3 linked regions of the Oryctolagus cuniculus genome follow. The protein of the gene in region 1 purifies or fractionates together with the protein of each later gene. This does not show direct contact. Links are inferred from orthologs where the notes say so. Each region holds a gene or a part of one and is shown on either strand. Other genes may lie near its edges.

Region 1 (4,468 bases):
GGAAGTCACTCTCTCTCCCTCTCACTCTTCCTTTCTAATAAGTACATAGAATCTTTCCATTTTCTCTTCTACTTCCAAATGCTACACAAAAAGTAAGACTCATTTTTTTCAAGATACATTTGCTTTTAGCAGCAGCTTGAGTTTCCAGATAAGTAAAACTTTTTGAAATCAGAGCATAAACTCTTAAGTTCAGTTTAATTCATCCAGTCATGAATATATATCAAATACCTCTTAATCATAAACACAATTTAAAATACATAAGAAGGGGCCGGCGCTGTGGCACAGCAGGTAAAGCCACTGCCTGCAGTGCCAGCATCCCATATGGGCACTGGTTCGAGTCCCGGCTGCTCCACTTCCTATCCAGCTCTCTGCTGTGGCCTGGGAAAGCAGTGGAAGATGGCCCAAGTCCTTGGACCCCTGCACCCACGTGGGAGACCCGGAGGAAGCTCCTGGCTCCTGGCTTCGGATGGGTGCAGCTCCGGCTGTTGCGGCCAATTGGGGAATGAACCAGCAGACGGAAAACCTTTCTCTCTCTGCCTTTCTTTCTCTCCCTGTGTAACTCTGACATTCAAATAAATATATAAATCTTACAAAATACTTTATATTTATTTATATTTATATAATAAACATATCATCTATTTATATAATATAAACATAAATTTATATTTTAAATATATAAAATTTATATTTATATTCAATATATAGATATATTTATATATTAATATATAAAGACATATTTATGTTTATATATTTTATAAAATAAAAAATACATGAGAATTCACATTTTAGAATGCTGAAAAGTTCATTCTAAGGTATGTGGAAAAAGGCTTAAAGCAGGGGTGAGGAATGTCCAGGCAACAAACCATACAAGGCCAGGGAAATCATTTGGTCTGGCCCTGCCAAGGCAACGGCCAGTGAGACTCGGAATTCAATAAATCTATAGCAGGCTAATTTTCAAGCTGATAATTGTGTATGGCCCGCAAATGATGTTATAAATATCCAAATCGCCCTTGGCAGAAAAATGGTTCCTCACCTCTGGCTTAAAGGGATCATGTGTTTCTAATGGCTAATCACCATCTAGTAAAAACAGACCCAAAAATTATCAATAGAAATTCACTGCACATCAAGAACAGTGTAAGGTTATTTGCCATTCTGTAGAATTCCAGACACCACTGGTCTACTGAGGGACTTCTAATCAGACTCAGCAATACAGAGACCTGCAACCAGGAAACAAGCTGTCCAACTGAAAAACAGCCCTATAGCAAGTAAGGAGTCAATCTGTCTCACCATACTTTGAGCTTTATGTATATCTAATAAAAATGTTGCAGGAGAAGAGAGTGAGGAGTGGGCATCTGGCACAGCAGTGAAGACCCGGCTTGTGATGTGCACATCCTGTGTGGCACAGCTCAGCTGCAGCCCGGTTTCCTGCTAACCCGCGCCCTGAGAAGCAGCGGGTGATGTCTCGGGTACCTGGGTCTCTGCTACCTCATGGGAGACCAGGATGGAGTTCCTGGCTCCTGCTTCAGCATGGCCCAACCCCAGCTACTGTGAGCATTTGGAGAGTGACCCAGCAGCTGGAAGGAAGATACCTCTCCCTTTCTCTCCTTCTCAAATAAAATAAAGATTTAAAAAAAAAAGTTAATAGTAAGGGTCATATATGAAACTGCAATTAAATGGCATTTTAAACCATCTCTAGAAAATCTAAAGATACATAAATGTGCACTTTAATTCTACAAATATAATGTAGCATACTAACTTATTTACACAATGATTTTCTGTCTCTGTAACAAATCTGGTTAAACACTGGGAAATCCATTACAACTTTAATAAACCAATCACACGTTTAAAGATATTATGAAAAGCTACCACTCACTCCTCATCACTCTTTCATCACAAATTTCCCTTTACCTACTTTGACGTCATGTTTCATGCCACAAACCAGATAACAACACATCAAACATGCAGTTATCATTGCAGAGCAAATAAATAAATAAATAAAACTGCTTTCGTTATGAAACAGCAACTTCAATAAAACCTGTACTGGGTAAAACAACCTAAAAATCTACTTAACCATATCCTGCATGTCCAAGTATGACCCGGTGGAAACATTCTCTGTGTCTAACAAACCGCTACCACACGAAGTACAGATCTGTTAAGAAAAGGAACTAACATTCTGACCTCCTTCCAAAATGACAAACCAGAACGGCAAAATTACACTCAGGCACATGGAGTACTCGTCTCTCAAATCACTCCACGGAGAACTTCATCATTTGCTCCGCCCTCTAATAACTCATGCAAAAAAAGTTCAGCACCATCAGAGAGAAACAAGACCTAGAGAATTCATAGAATGGCTCAGGGCCTCTCCTCCAGGCGGTAAGACCTGTCTGGGCCCTTCGCAGGGGTCCAGAGCAAAGGGAAAAACCAGGCCTAGGGTTTTGGGGGACACTAACCCCCAGCCGCACATTTTCTCCCCGAGAAGTTTCTGCCGTCTTCCCTATTCTATCAGCAGGAGGCCCCGGCGCCATGGTCTCAATCGTTACGATTTTATTATGGGGAGGTGGGAAACGCCACCCAGGACTCCTCCAGGCCTCTCGTCTTCAGCTTGGGGGTGCCCCCTCACTATTCTCCTAAAGCCTCGGTCTCTAAGGTACTCCTCGGCACCCCCATTTCTGGCGGCCTGTCCCCTGGGATGTGTAAAGGCGCCGCCGTACCCCTCAGCCTCCGCGTGAAGGCGGGAGGGCCCGAACACGCCAGGGCCACACCGATGGCTCCAAGGGGCCCAGAAAGGGGAAGGGCAGGCCAGCGCCGGGGGAGGGGAGGGTTCACGGGGAGAGGCTGACCTGGCCGGGAAGAAAGGGAAAGGCAGGTGAGGGGATGCGCGGCACCCCAGGACTGCACACTGAGGAGACGATGATGGAGGAGGGCGGTGGCCCGGGTGCGGCCCCCCACTCCTCCCCGCCCCCAGGTCCCCCGGCCGGCGAGGGCGGAGGGCCCGACCCATCCCCTGTCTAGGCAGGCAGGAGGTAAAAGGGGCTATCCCTTCGAACTGCGAGGAGATCGAGGAGGAGGGTAAGGGGAGCGCGCGGGGGGGTGTCTCCCGCCTGAACCCGGAGACCCCGACGCCGTCGTCGCCTCTTCCTCCGGAGGGAGGACGAGAGCTGTGGGTGAAGCCCGAGGGAGGGACGCATGAAGGTAAGGGGCGAGCCCGGGGCAGACCCGCTGCCCGCTCTGGACCCCACTCTCCACCTTCCGGTAACCGCGTCTCTTACCGGTGATGGCGGTGAACTGCTGAATTAACCCCCTCAGCGCCGAGGACGCCGCGGAGCCCCCGTGGGCAGCCATCTTACCGCCGCCGCCGCCGCCGCCGCCGCCGCCGAACAACAACACAGACACACACGGACCGCCCTCCCCCACCTCGCCGCGCGGCCTGCGCAGGCTCATTGACCGCCCCCAGGCTCCGCCCCTCCGGGCCCCCCGCCCCGCGGCCCGCGCAGGCGCACTGCCCACCGCGCCGGAGCGCTCTGTGCGCTCCGCGGGTTGGCTGCTCTGTTGCTGCCTGCTGGCCGCATCCTCATTGCAAACCTCTAGCGCCTGCCTCTCTGAGCTGCCAGGCCAGCTTGATGGACTCGGTTTGGAGTCCTGGCTTCCGTAGTAGGTCTTTCGAATGTCTATTAAACAAGTTTCGTCGATAGATCCAACTGCTGATGGTGGCGTTTATCCTTTTGGCAGCTCCACTGCACGCTACTGAATTTCCTGCGGTTCCCATCAAAAATAGAAATCCTACATCTTAGCGCCGAAGCGGCTTCCTAACCTCTATAAACTAACGGCCTAGCTAACCTAGCGCAGCAGGAGTGAAACGCCAGAAACCCGCGCGCCAGGGAGGCGGTGGGAGCGGGCTCCGACACACGGGAGGTTTCATGGAGGATTGTTCGTTTGCTTTGCGTCACTGAACTTGCCAACGCAAGTCTCCCCTCAGGGTCTCGCTGAGTTTCCTCACCTGTGAAATGAGGACATGGCTTTGGCGTGAGGGAAGCAGCGTGGTTAAGTCGTGTGTAACACCGTCTCAGCAACACAGTGCCCCTGTGGGTAGTCCCTGAATTCTGAATAGTGAAAAAACTGTATAAAGGGGGTGTGACCAGATGGCTTTAAAAAAAAAAAAAAGGAAGTGTTTTTGCGCCAAAAGAAAATGTACAGAAAGGACCCTGGAGAAGTGTCCCAAACCTCAATTAATGGTTGCTTCTAGAGAGGAGAGCGATAGGGAGAATTGTGAATGTGGACTTTTTTTTAAATCCTTTATTTTTAAACAAAAACATAGTAGTGTCACACGATTTCAGATGGTATTAGTGTTACTTGCATAGTTTTAAATATTTTTAGGACAATTTTGTGTGTAGAGTACACTGAAATCGGTTGACACTCCCCAAATTGAAAATAAAGTTAAAGACATGGAGTTTATGTTCCAGCCTCCCAC
Region 2 (4,368 bases), on another chromosome or scaffold:
ATCTCCACTGAAAGATCCCTTTTTAAGTAATTTTTGAGAACTATAGAATTAAACAGGTGAACTTTGATATGTAAATTATATTTCACTAAAGCTGTTTTAGAAGAGTACATATACAATATTATCATAAAGTAAATCAATACTATATAATATTAAGGGCATATGTGCATGAAAGGTAGGAAATAGACAGAAATAGTATAAATTAAGGGGAGTGATCCAGCGGAAGGAAGACCTTTTTCTCTCTCTCTCTCTCACACTGTCTATAACTCTACCTGTTGAATTAAAAAAAAAAAAAGTATCAATTGAAGGTTGTGTTTTTTTTTCTCTTAGAGATAGAGGAATGAATAAAAGAAATCTGGAGCAACTATGAAAAGTGTTAAATCTGAGTGGTAGATACATGGGTATTTGGAATATTTTGTTTTGATCTTTTTTGGGTATATATGAAATATTTTTCAGTGAAATTATTAGTATTAATATTTTTAAAGATTCATTTATTTACTTGAAATTCAGAGTTACACAGGGAGAGAAGGAGGGGCAGAGAGAGGTCTTCCATCTGTTGGTTCACTCCCCAGTTGGCCTCAATGGCTGGAGCTGTACAGATCCAAAGCCAGGAGCTTCTTCCAGGTCTTCCATGTGGGTGCAGGGGCCTAAGGACTTGGACCATCTTCCACTGCTTTCCCAGGCCATAGCAGAGAGCTGAATGGGAAGTGGAGCAGCTAGGACTTGAACCTACACCCATATGGGATATCAGCACTACAGGCTGCGGCTTTACCCGCTGCGCCACAGTGCCAGCCCAGTTAAATTATTTTTTAAACAAAATAGAATATTACGTAATATTTAAGAGATTATTAAGTTCTGGGTACCTTTTCTAATGTCTTTTTACATCTTTACAGACCCTGGGAGGCAGGTTCTATTATAACTGACCTACAGGTGAAAGTAAAGCGCATGCGTAGTAACTGGTCCACAGTCACACTGATAGTATGCAACCAGGATTTAAGACCAGGAAATCTAACTTTAGTGCTTGTGCTGTATGTTACTATATATTCCTATGCTATAAACCATTCAGGTATTTTCACCAAAGTATGTTCCAAGGTCTTTATTGCATTTTTGTTCAGATTATTTAGTCATTCTTTTTTTTCAGGTTACTGATATATTTCTTTCCCTTTTACAGATAATGGCATCAGCTGCTAAAGAATTTAAAATGGACAACTTTTCACCTAAAGCTGGCACTAGCAAATTGCAGCAGACAGTACCAGCTGATGCATCTCCTGATTCTAAGTGTCCTATATGCTTGGATAGATTTGATAATGTGTCTTACTTAGATCGCTGCTTACATAAGTTCTGTTTTCGCTGTGTACAGGAGTGGTCAAAAAACAAAGCTGAATGTCCACTATGTAAACAGCCCTTTGATTCTATTTTCCATTCTGTGAGGGCAGAAGATGACTTTAAGGAGTATGTCTTAAGGCCTGCATATAATGGTTCCTTTACTACCCCTGATGTTCGGCGATTTCGCTACCGTACAACCATGACAAGGGAGCGGAATGCATCTGTTTATTCACCTAGTAGCACCGTGAATAGAAGAACAACCACTCCGCCAGACAGTGGAGTACTATTTGAAGGATTAGGCATTTCAGCAAGACCTAGAGATGTTGAAATTCCTCAATTTATGAGACAGATTGCAATAAGGAGGCCAACTAATGCAGATGAACGATCTTTACGGAAAATTCAAGAACAAGATATTATTAATTTTAGACGAACTCTCTATCGTGCAGGTGCTCGAGTTAGAAATATTGAAGATGGTGGCCGCTACAGGGATATCTCAGCAGAATTTTTCCGTAGAAATCCAGCTTGCCTTCATAGATTAGTCCCCTGGCTAAAACGTGAGCTCACAGTTCTTTTTGGAGCTCATGGATCTTTAGTCAATATTGTCCAGCACATCATCATGAGTAATGTGACTCGCTATGACTTGGAGAGTCAGGCGTTTGTGTCTGACTTAAGGCCATTTTTACTTAATCGAACTGAGCATTTTATACATGAATTTATCAGTTTTGCTCGATCTCCTTTTAATATGGCAGCTTTTGATCAACATGCCAATTATGATTGCCCTGCTCCTTCATATGAAGAAGGCAGCCATTCTGATTCTTCAGTCATAACAATATCTCCAGATGAAGCCGAGACCCAAGAACTGGATATGAACATTGCCACTGTTAGTCAGGCACCGTGGGATGATGAAACTCCAGGACCATCTTACTCAAGCTCAGAGCAGGTACATGTTGCCATGTCTTCCGTTTTAAATACTTCGGACAGCTCAGATGAAGAACTTGTCACAGGCGGAGCCACATCTCAGATACAAGGTGTGCAAACCAATGAGGACCTAAATAATGACAGTGATGATTCTTCAGATAATTGTGTCATCGTTGGGTTTGTTAAACCACTAGCTGAGCGGACCCCAGAACTTGTTGAACTGTCCTCTGATTCTGAGGAGTTAGGCTCGTATGAGAAAATGGAGACAGTGAAGGCACAAGAACAAGAGCAGTCTTACAGTTCCAGTGATAGTGATGTGAGTAGATGTTCATCTCCACGCTCTGTCCTTGGAAAGAATGAGCAAATGAATAAAGGCCGTTGTGATTCTGGTACAAGAATCAAATCAAAGAAGGAAGAAAAACGATCTACATCAGTATCATCTCCCAGAGACCTGAGAGGAGACAGAGTAAATTCCCTGTATAACCATAGACACAGGAAGAGGGGAAGATCAAGAAGTTCAGATTCACGGTCCCAAAGTAGAAGTGGGCATGATCAGAAAAATCATAGAAAACATCATGGGAAGAAAAGAGTGAAGAGCAAACGATCCAGAAGCAGGGAGAGTAGTAGACCTAGAGGGAGAAGAGACAAAAAGAGATCACGAACTAGAGATAGCAGTTGGTCAAGAAGAAGCCAAACTCTCTCTCTAAGTAGTGAAAGCACAAGCAGATCAAGGTCTCGTAGCAGTGATCATGGGAGAAGAAGATCACGGAGCAGAAATAGAGATCGTTACTATTTAAGAAATAATTATGGAAGCAGATACAAGTGGGAATATACTTACTATAGTAGAAACAAGGACAGGGATGGCTATGAATCATCTTATAGGAGGAGGACTCTGTCTAGAGCCCACTATTCCAGACAATCTTCAAGTCCAGAATTTAGAATTCAGTCTTTTTCTGAAAGAAATGCCAGGAAAAAGAATAATCACAATGAAAGGAAATATTACTATTATGAAAGGCACAGATCAAGGAGCCTGTCTAGTAATAGATCAAGGACTGCATCTACAGGACCTGACCGAATGAGAAATGAAAAGCCTGGTGGGAAACGAAAATATAAAACACGGCATTTGGAGGGTACTAATGAAGTGGCTCAACCGTCCCGTGAGTTTGCTTCTAAAGTGAAGGATAGCCATTATCAAAAATCTTCATCAAAATTGGATGGAAACTATAAAAATGAGAGTGATAGCTTTTCAGACAGCCGATCATCAGACAGAGAGACAAAACACAAGAGGAGGAAAAGGAAAACCAGGAGCCTAAGTGTGGAGATAGTTTATGAAGGAAAAGCTACTGATACAGCTAAACATCATAAAAAGAAAAAGAAGAAACACAAGAAGAAGCATAAGAAACACCATGGAGATAATACTTCACGGTCCCCAGTTGTTATTACCATTGACAGTGACAGTGATAAGGATTCTGAAGTCAAAGAAGATACAGAATATGACAATAATGGTCTTCCAGACCCTCTACATAATGAGTTTTTGGCTCCTTCCTTGGAACCATTCGAAACTAAAGAGGTTGTTACAATAGAAGATGAATTTGGAGTCCTGGATAAAGACTGTGACATTACCACACTTACTAGCAACTTAAATAATGGCAACAAAACTGTGGATGTTATTCCACCCCAGGCAACTTCAGTTGAACAAACTCTTGACGTGAGAGAAGAGAGCACCTTTGCCTCTGATTTGGAGAACCAGCCCAGTAATGTGTCTCTTCAGTCTGAGCCATTAAGGCAGTTGCCATCTCCACGGACATCATTAATGTCAGTGTCTCTTGGTAGAGACGGATAGGTCTTAAAAGCATCTCATTGAGAGTTTTGATGGTATAAAAAGGAAAAAGAACAATGTCATCTATTACAGTCTATTTAAAGATGACTTTAGATTGAAAACTTTCCCCTTAAAATATTTTGTGATTTTTTTGTGTTAATTTGTAAAAAAATCATTATTTGTTCAAAAAGTTATGTATGTCCCACTCTGAGATATGCACTTTTAAGTGAAGAAGATATTGTTAGCAGTTTATTTAAAACTTGGGATCCTTTTTAAATAAAAACGTATAAATTTTAGAAGTTATTTCA
Region 3 (4,377 bases), on another chromosome or scaffold:
ATTTTCTAAAATACTTATTTATTTACTTGAAAGGTAGAGTTATAGGGGCCGGCACTGTGGTGCAGCAGGTTAATGCCCTGGCCTGCAGTGCGGGCATCCCATATAGGCGCCGGTTCAAGACCTGGCTGCTCCATTTCCGATCCAACCCTCTGTTGTGGCCTGGGAAAGCAGTAGAAGGTGGCCCAAGTCCTTGGGCCCCTGCACCCACGTGGGAGACCCAGAAGAGGCTCCTGGCTCCTGGTTTCAGGTTGGCACAGCTCCAGCCATTGCGGCCAACTGGGGAGAGAACCATTGGATAGAAGACTGCTCTCTCTCTCTGCCTCTCCTCTCTCTGTGTAACTCTTTCAAATAAATAAATAAATCTTAAAACAAAAATGAAAGGTAGAGTTATAGAGAGGAGACAGAGAGAGCTTCCATCTGGTTCACTCCCCAAATGACCACAGTGACCAAGGCTGTGCCAGGCCAAAGTCAGGAACTTCTTCCAGGTCTCCCACGCACTGCACCACAGCACCGGCCCCAATCATCATTCTTCTTCTTTTCTTTTTTTTTTTTTTTTTTTGACAGGCAGAGTGGACAGTGAGAGAGAGAGAGAGAGAGAGAGAGAGAAAGGTCTTCCTTTTGCCGTTGGTTCACCCTCCAATGGCTGCCGCACTGGCTGCAGCGACCATTAAAGGGTGAACCGGGCCGGCGCCGTGGCTCAATAGGCTAATCCTCCACCTTGCGGCGCCGGCACACCGGGTTCTAGTCCCGGTTGGGGCGCCGGATTCTGTCCCGGTCGCCCCTCTTCCAGGCCAGCTCTCTGCTGTGGCCAGGGAGTGCAGTGGAGGATGGCCCAGGTGCTTGGGCCCTGCACCCCATGGGAGACCAGGAAAAGCACCTGGCTCCTGGCTCCTGCCAGGATCAGCGCGGTGCGCCGGCTGCAGCGGCGGCCACTGGAGGGTGAACCAACGGCAAAAGGAAGACCTTTCTCTCTGTCTCTCTCTCTCACTGTCCACTCTGCCTGTCAAAAAAAAAAAAAAAAAAAAAAAAAGGGTGAACCAACGATAAAGGAAGACCTTTCTCGGGCCGGCACCGCGGCTCACTAAGCTAATCCTCCGCCTAGCGGCGCCGGCACACCGGGTTCTAGTCCCGGTCGGGGCGCCAGATTCTGTCCCGGTTGCCCCTCTTCCAGGCCAGCCCTCTGCTGTGGCCAGGGAGTGCAGTGGAGGATGGCCCAAGTGCTTGGGCCCTGCACCCCATGGGAGACCAGGAGAAGCACCTGGCTCTTGGCTCCTGGCTCCTGCCATCGGATCAGCGCGGTGCGCCGGCCACAGCGCGCCGGCCGCGGCGGCCATTGGAGGGTGAACCAACGGCAAAGGAAGACCTTTCTCTCTGTCTCTCTCTCTCTCACTGTCCACTCTGCCTGTCAAAAATAAATACACACACACACTGACAGGACTGGTCTGGAAGGTCAGCAGGCCTGGGCACCGCCTGAGGGGGCGGGGCCGCCTGCAGCGCCAGCATCCACAACGGCTCCGGTTTGTGCCGTGTTTGCTCCACTTCGGATCCGGCGCTGCTGTGGCCCAGGAGTGCAGTGGAGGATGCCCTGGGTGCTTAGGCCCTGCACCCTATGGGAGACCAGGAGGAGGCCCTGGCCCCTGGCTTTGGGCGCTGGCTGTGGCAGCCATTTGGGGGGTGAACCAACGGAAGGAAGACCTTTCTCTCTCTCTCTCACTGTCCAACTCTGCCTGGCAAATAGAAAAAAAGTTTAAAAAAAAACCTCCCACTTGGCTGAAAAGGGTTTGCCCCATAAGTTCTCAACCTTGAAGACTGTCTTGAATGATCCGAGTTTCCCAACTGTGAAGAGCACAAAACATCTTACATCCTTTCGCTTCGTACCCACGCCTGTTAAACCGTCTACACCTCCTTACTGTCTCTGGCGAGCAGGTGCGCTTCCGCGGCAGCGGCAAGGCCTGCGTCTGCTCGTTCCTGGAACCTCTCAAAGCCTGGGCTGCGCTTCCCTGCGGCCCCGGCCCGGCGCACCGACACCGCTGGGCGCCCTGGGACCCCCGCCCGGAACACCGACACCGCTGGGCGCCCTGGGACCCCCGCCCGGAGCACCGACACCGCTGGGCGCCCTGGGACCCCCGCCCGGAACACCGACACCGCTGGGCGCCCTGGGACCCCGGCCCCGCCACCCCTCGGGAGATGAAGGACTGATGGAACAAGTCAGCTACACCCACAGAAACCGGTTCTAAAGTCTAACTTAAAAAAAACTTCGACAGCGATTTCAAAGAGGACTGCTTTAACTCCTCACCGCCTGGGAAATTCAACGAGAGAGGAAGCCTCACCTCCTACCCGCCCGGAGGCCAAGGCTGGGGAGCCAAGGCACCAAACGGAGCCGGGACCCGCATGGCCGCGGGGGTCCCACAAACGGAGCCGGGACCCGCACGGCCGCGGGCGCCCCACAACCGCAGCCGGGACCTGCACGGCCGCGCGGGTCCCACAACCGCATCCAGGACCTGCACGGCCGCGGGCGCCCCACAACCGCAGCCGGGACCCGCACGGCCGCGGGCGCCCCACAAACGGAGCCGGGACCCGCACACGGCCGCGGGGGTCCCACAACCACAGCCGGGACCCGCACACGGCCGCGGGGGTCCCACAAACGCAGCCGGGACCCGCACACGGCCGCGGGGGTCCCACAAACGCAGCCGGGACCCGCACGGCCGCGGGCTGTCAGCGCCGGTGCCGCTCCCCCCGGAGACCCCAAGCCCCTCGGCGCCTTCCCGGCGCAACTTCTCACGAGTTCGCCGTGACCGCTGTCTTTCTGATTTCCTGGCCATTTCCTTTGGCCAACTTTGGGCGGGAAGCGGCGCAGTCCGGGACAAGCGTCAGCCCGGCCGGTCGCCCGTTCCCAGCAGGCAGGTGTCCGGTCCCGCGCCCCCCTCCCGGCCGCTCCCGCCCAGGCGGAGCGCGAGGCCGCGGAGCCCCGAAGGCGGCCTTGGGAAGGCCGCGACCCCGCTCGGGGGCCCGAGGGCTCCCGCCAGGCGGCTCCGCAACTGCGGACGCGCCCGGCCCGGCCCTGCCCGCCGGCCGCCGGGTCACGACAGGCCCGGCCAGAGCCAGGCGCGGGAGCACGCCGAGGGGCCGACGCCGCGGAGGGGCCCGCCGAGGCCAGGGGAGGGCCGGCCGCGGCGCCGCCTCCCCACAGGCCGCCGCGCAAATCTGCTGCCTCATCCCGGCGCCCCGCTCCCGCCCGGCCGCCGCACTCACGATGCTCTCGGCCATGGCGGCCGCCGCTGTCTCCGGGCTCGAGCCCCGGGCCGCCGCCGCCGCCGCCTGCCGCCCCGTGGGCCTCGCAGCCCCGGCCTCAGCCCCGGCCCCGGCCTCCCGCCGCCGCCGCCACCGCCGCTCCAGCTTCGCCGCCCGCCCGGCCGCCGCCGACGTCCGGTGCTTCGCCTGACGCGCTCCGCCGGGCCCTCAGCCCGCAACGCAGGTTCCGGCCTCAGGGACGGCCCCGCGCATGCGCGGGCGCGGCGCGCGGCCCCGCCCCCTCAGCTGCCCATCCGGCCAGGCTCCGCCCCCTCGGCGAGCGCGCGTGCCCGGGCGTCGGGGCGGCTGCGGGGCGGCTGCGGGGCGGCTGCGGGGCGGCTGAGGGGCGGCTGCGGGGCGGCTGCGGGGCGGCTGCGCGGAGACCCCCGCGCGTCCGAAGCCTCGCCGGGGCTCGCTGCGGAGTTGCAGGCGTCAGGCTGCTCACAGACGAGCAAGAAGTAATCTCGGCGGGGCGGGGTCCATCTTCGTGCGTAGGTTTCACATTTTTTGCGCTGAAACAGACTTTAATCCCATTTCTCCCAGAACTTTCACGCCCCTGGTAGATGAGCCCGCGCCAGCCAAGCGGGGCTTCCTCCTGCGCCTGCTGTCTCTGAAAGGCGGGCGGAGTGGCAGAGGAGGACGCACAGCCGGGGACCCCCCATCTCCCATGCGGAGGGTCAGGGTCAGGGTCAGGGTCGGATTGGGTTAGGGTTAGGGTTAGGGTTAGGGTTAGGGCTAGGGTTAGGGCTAGGGTTAGGGTTAGGGTTAGGGTTAGGAGTAGGATTAGGGTTAGGGTTAGGGTTGGGTTAGGGTTAGGGTTGGGTTAGGGTTAGGGTAGGGCTAGAGTTGGGTTAGGGTTAGGGCTAGGGTTAGGGTTAGGGCTAGGGTTAGGGTTAGGGTTAGGGTTGGGTTAGGGCTAGGGGTAGGGTTATGGCTAGGGTTGGATTAGGGTTAGGGTTAGGGTTGGGTTAGGGTTAGGGCTAGGGTTGGGTTAGGGTTAGGGTTAGGGCTAGGGTTGGGTTAGGGTTAGGGTTAGGGTTAGGTCTAGGGTTAGGGTTAGGGTTATGGCTAGGGTTGGGTTAGGGT

The links.
Region 2: the proteins of UBXN7 (region 1) and TOPORS purify together in Homo sapiens (affinity purification with mass spectrometry; 4 studies listed by BioGRID and IntAct, with this or other methods). This does not show direct contact. The link is inferred for Oryctolagus cuniculus from reciprocal best matches to the Homo sapiens genes UBXN7 and TOPORS.
Region 3: the proteins of UBXN7 (region 1) and NPLOC4 purify together in Homo sapiens (affinity purification with mass spectrometry; 3 studies listed by BioGRID and IntAct, with this or other methods). This does not show direct contact. The link is inferred for Oryctolagus cuniculus from reciprocal best matches to the Homo sapiens genes UBXN7 and NPLOC4.

Annotation. Positions count from the first base shown.
Region 1 is NC_091435.1:82,953,419-82,957,886, forward strand, and holds the start of UBXN7 (UBX domain-containing protein 7), read right to left. Parts: upstream 3,426-4,468; 5' UTR 3,343-3,425; coding exon 3,270-3,342; intron 1-3,269. UniProt on the Homo sapiens protein: Ubiquitin-binding adapter that links a subset of NEDD8-associated cullin ring ligases (CRLs) to the segregase VCP/p97, to regulate turnover of their ubiquitination substrates.
Region 2 is NC_091432.1:195,919,827-195,924,194, reverse strand, and holds part of TOPORS (E3 ubiquitin-protein ligase Topors), read left to right. Parts: intron 1-1,168; coding exon 1,169-4,084; 3' UTR 4,085-4,368. UniProt on the Homo sapiens protein: Functions as an E3 ubiquitin-protein ligase and as an E3 SUMO1-protein ligase. Probable tumor suppressor involved in cell growth, cell proliferation and apoptosis that regulates p53/TP53 stability through ubiquitin-dependent degradation.
Region 3 is NC_091448.1:1,117,633-1,122,009, reverse strand, and holds the start of NPLOC4 (nuclear protein localization protein 4 homolog), read right to left. Parts: upstream 3,424-4,377; 5' UTR 3,268-3,423; coding exon 3,253-3,267; intron 1-3,252. UniProt on the Homo sapiens protein: The ternary complex containing UFD1, VCP and NPLOC4 binds ubiquitinated proteins and is necessary for the export of misfolded proteins from the ER to the cytoplasm, where they are degraded by the proteasome.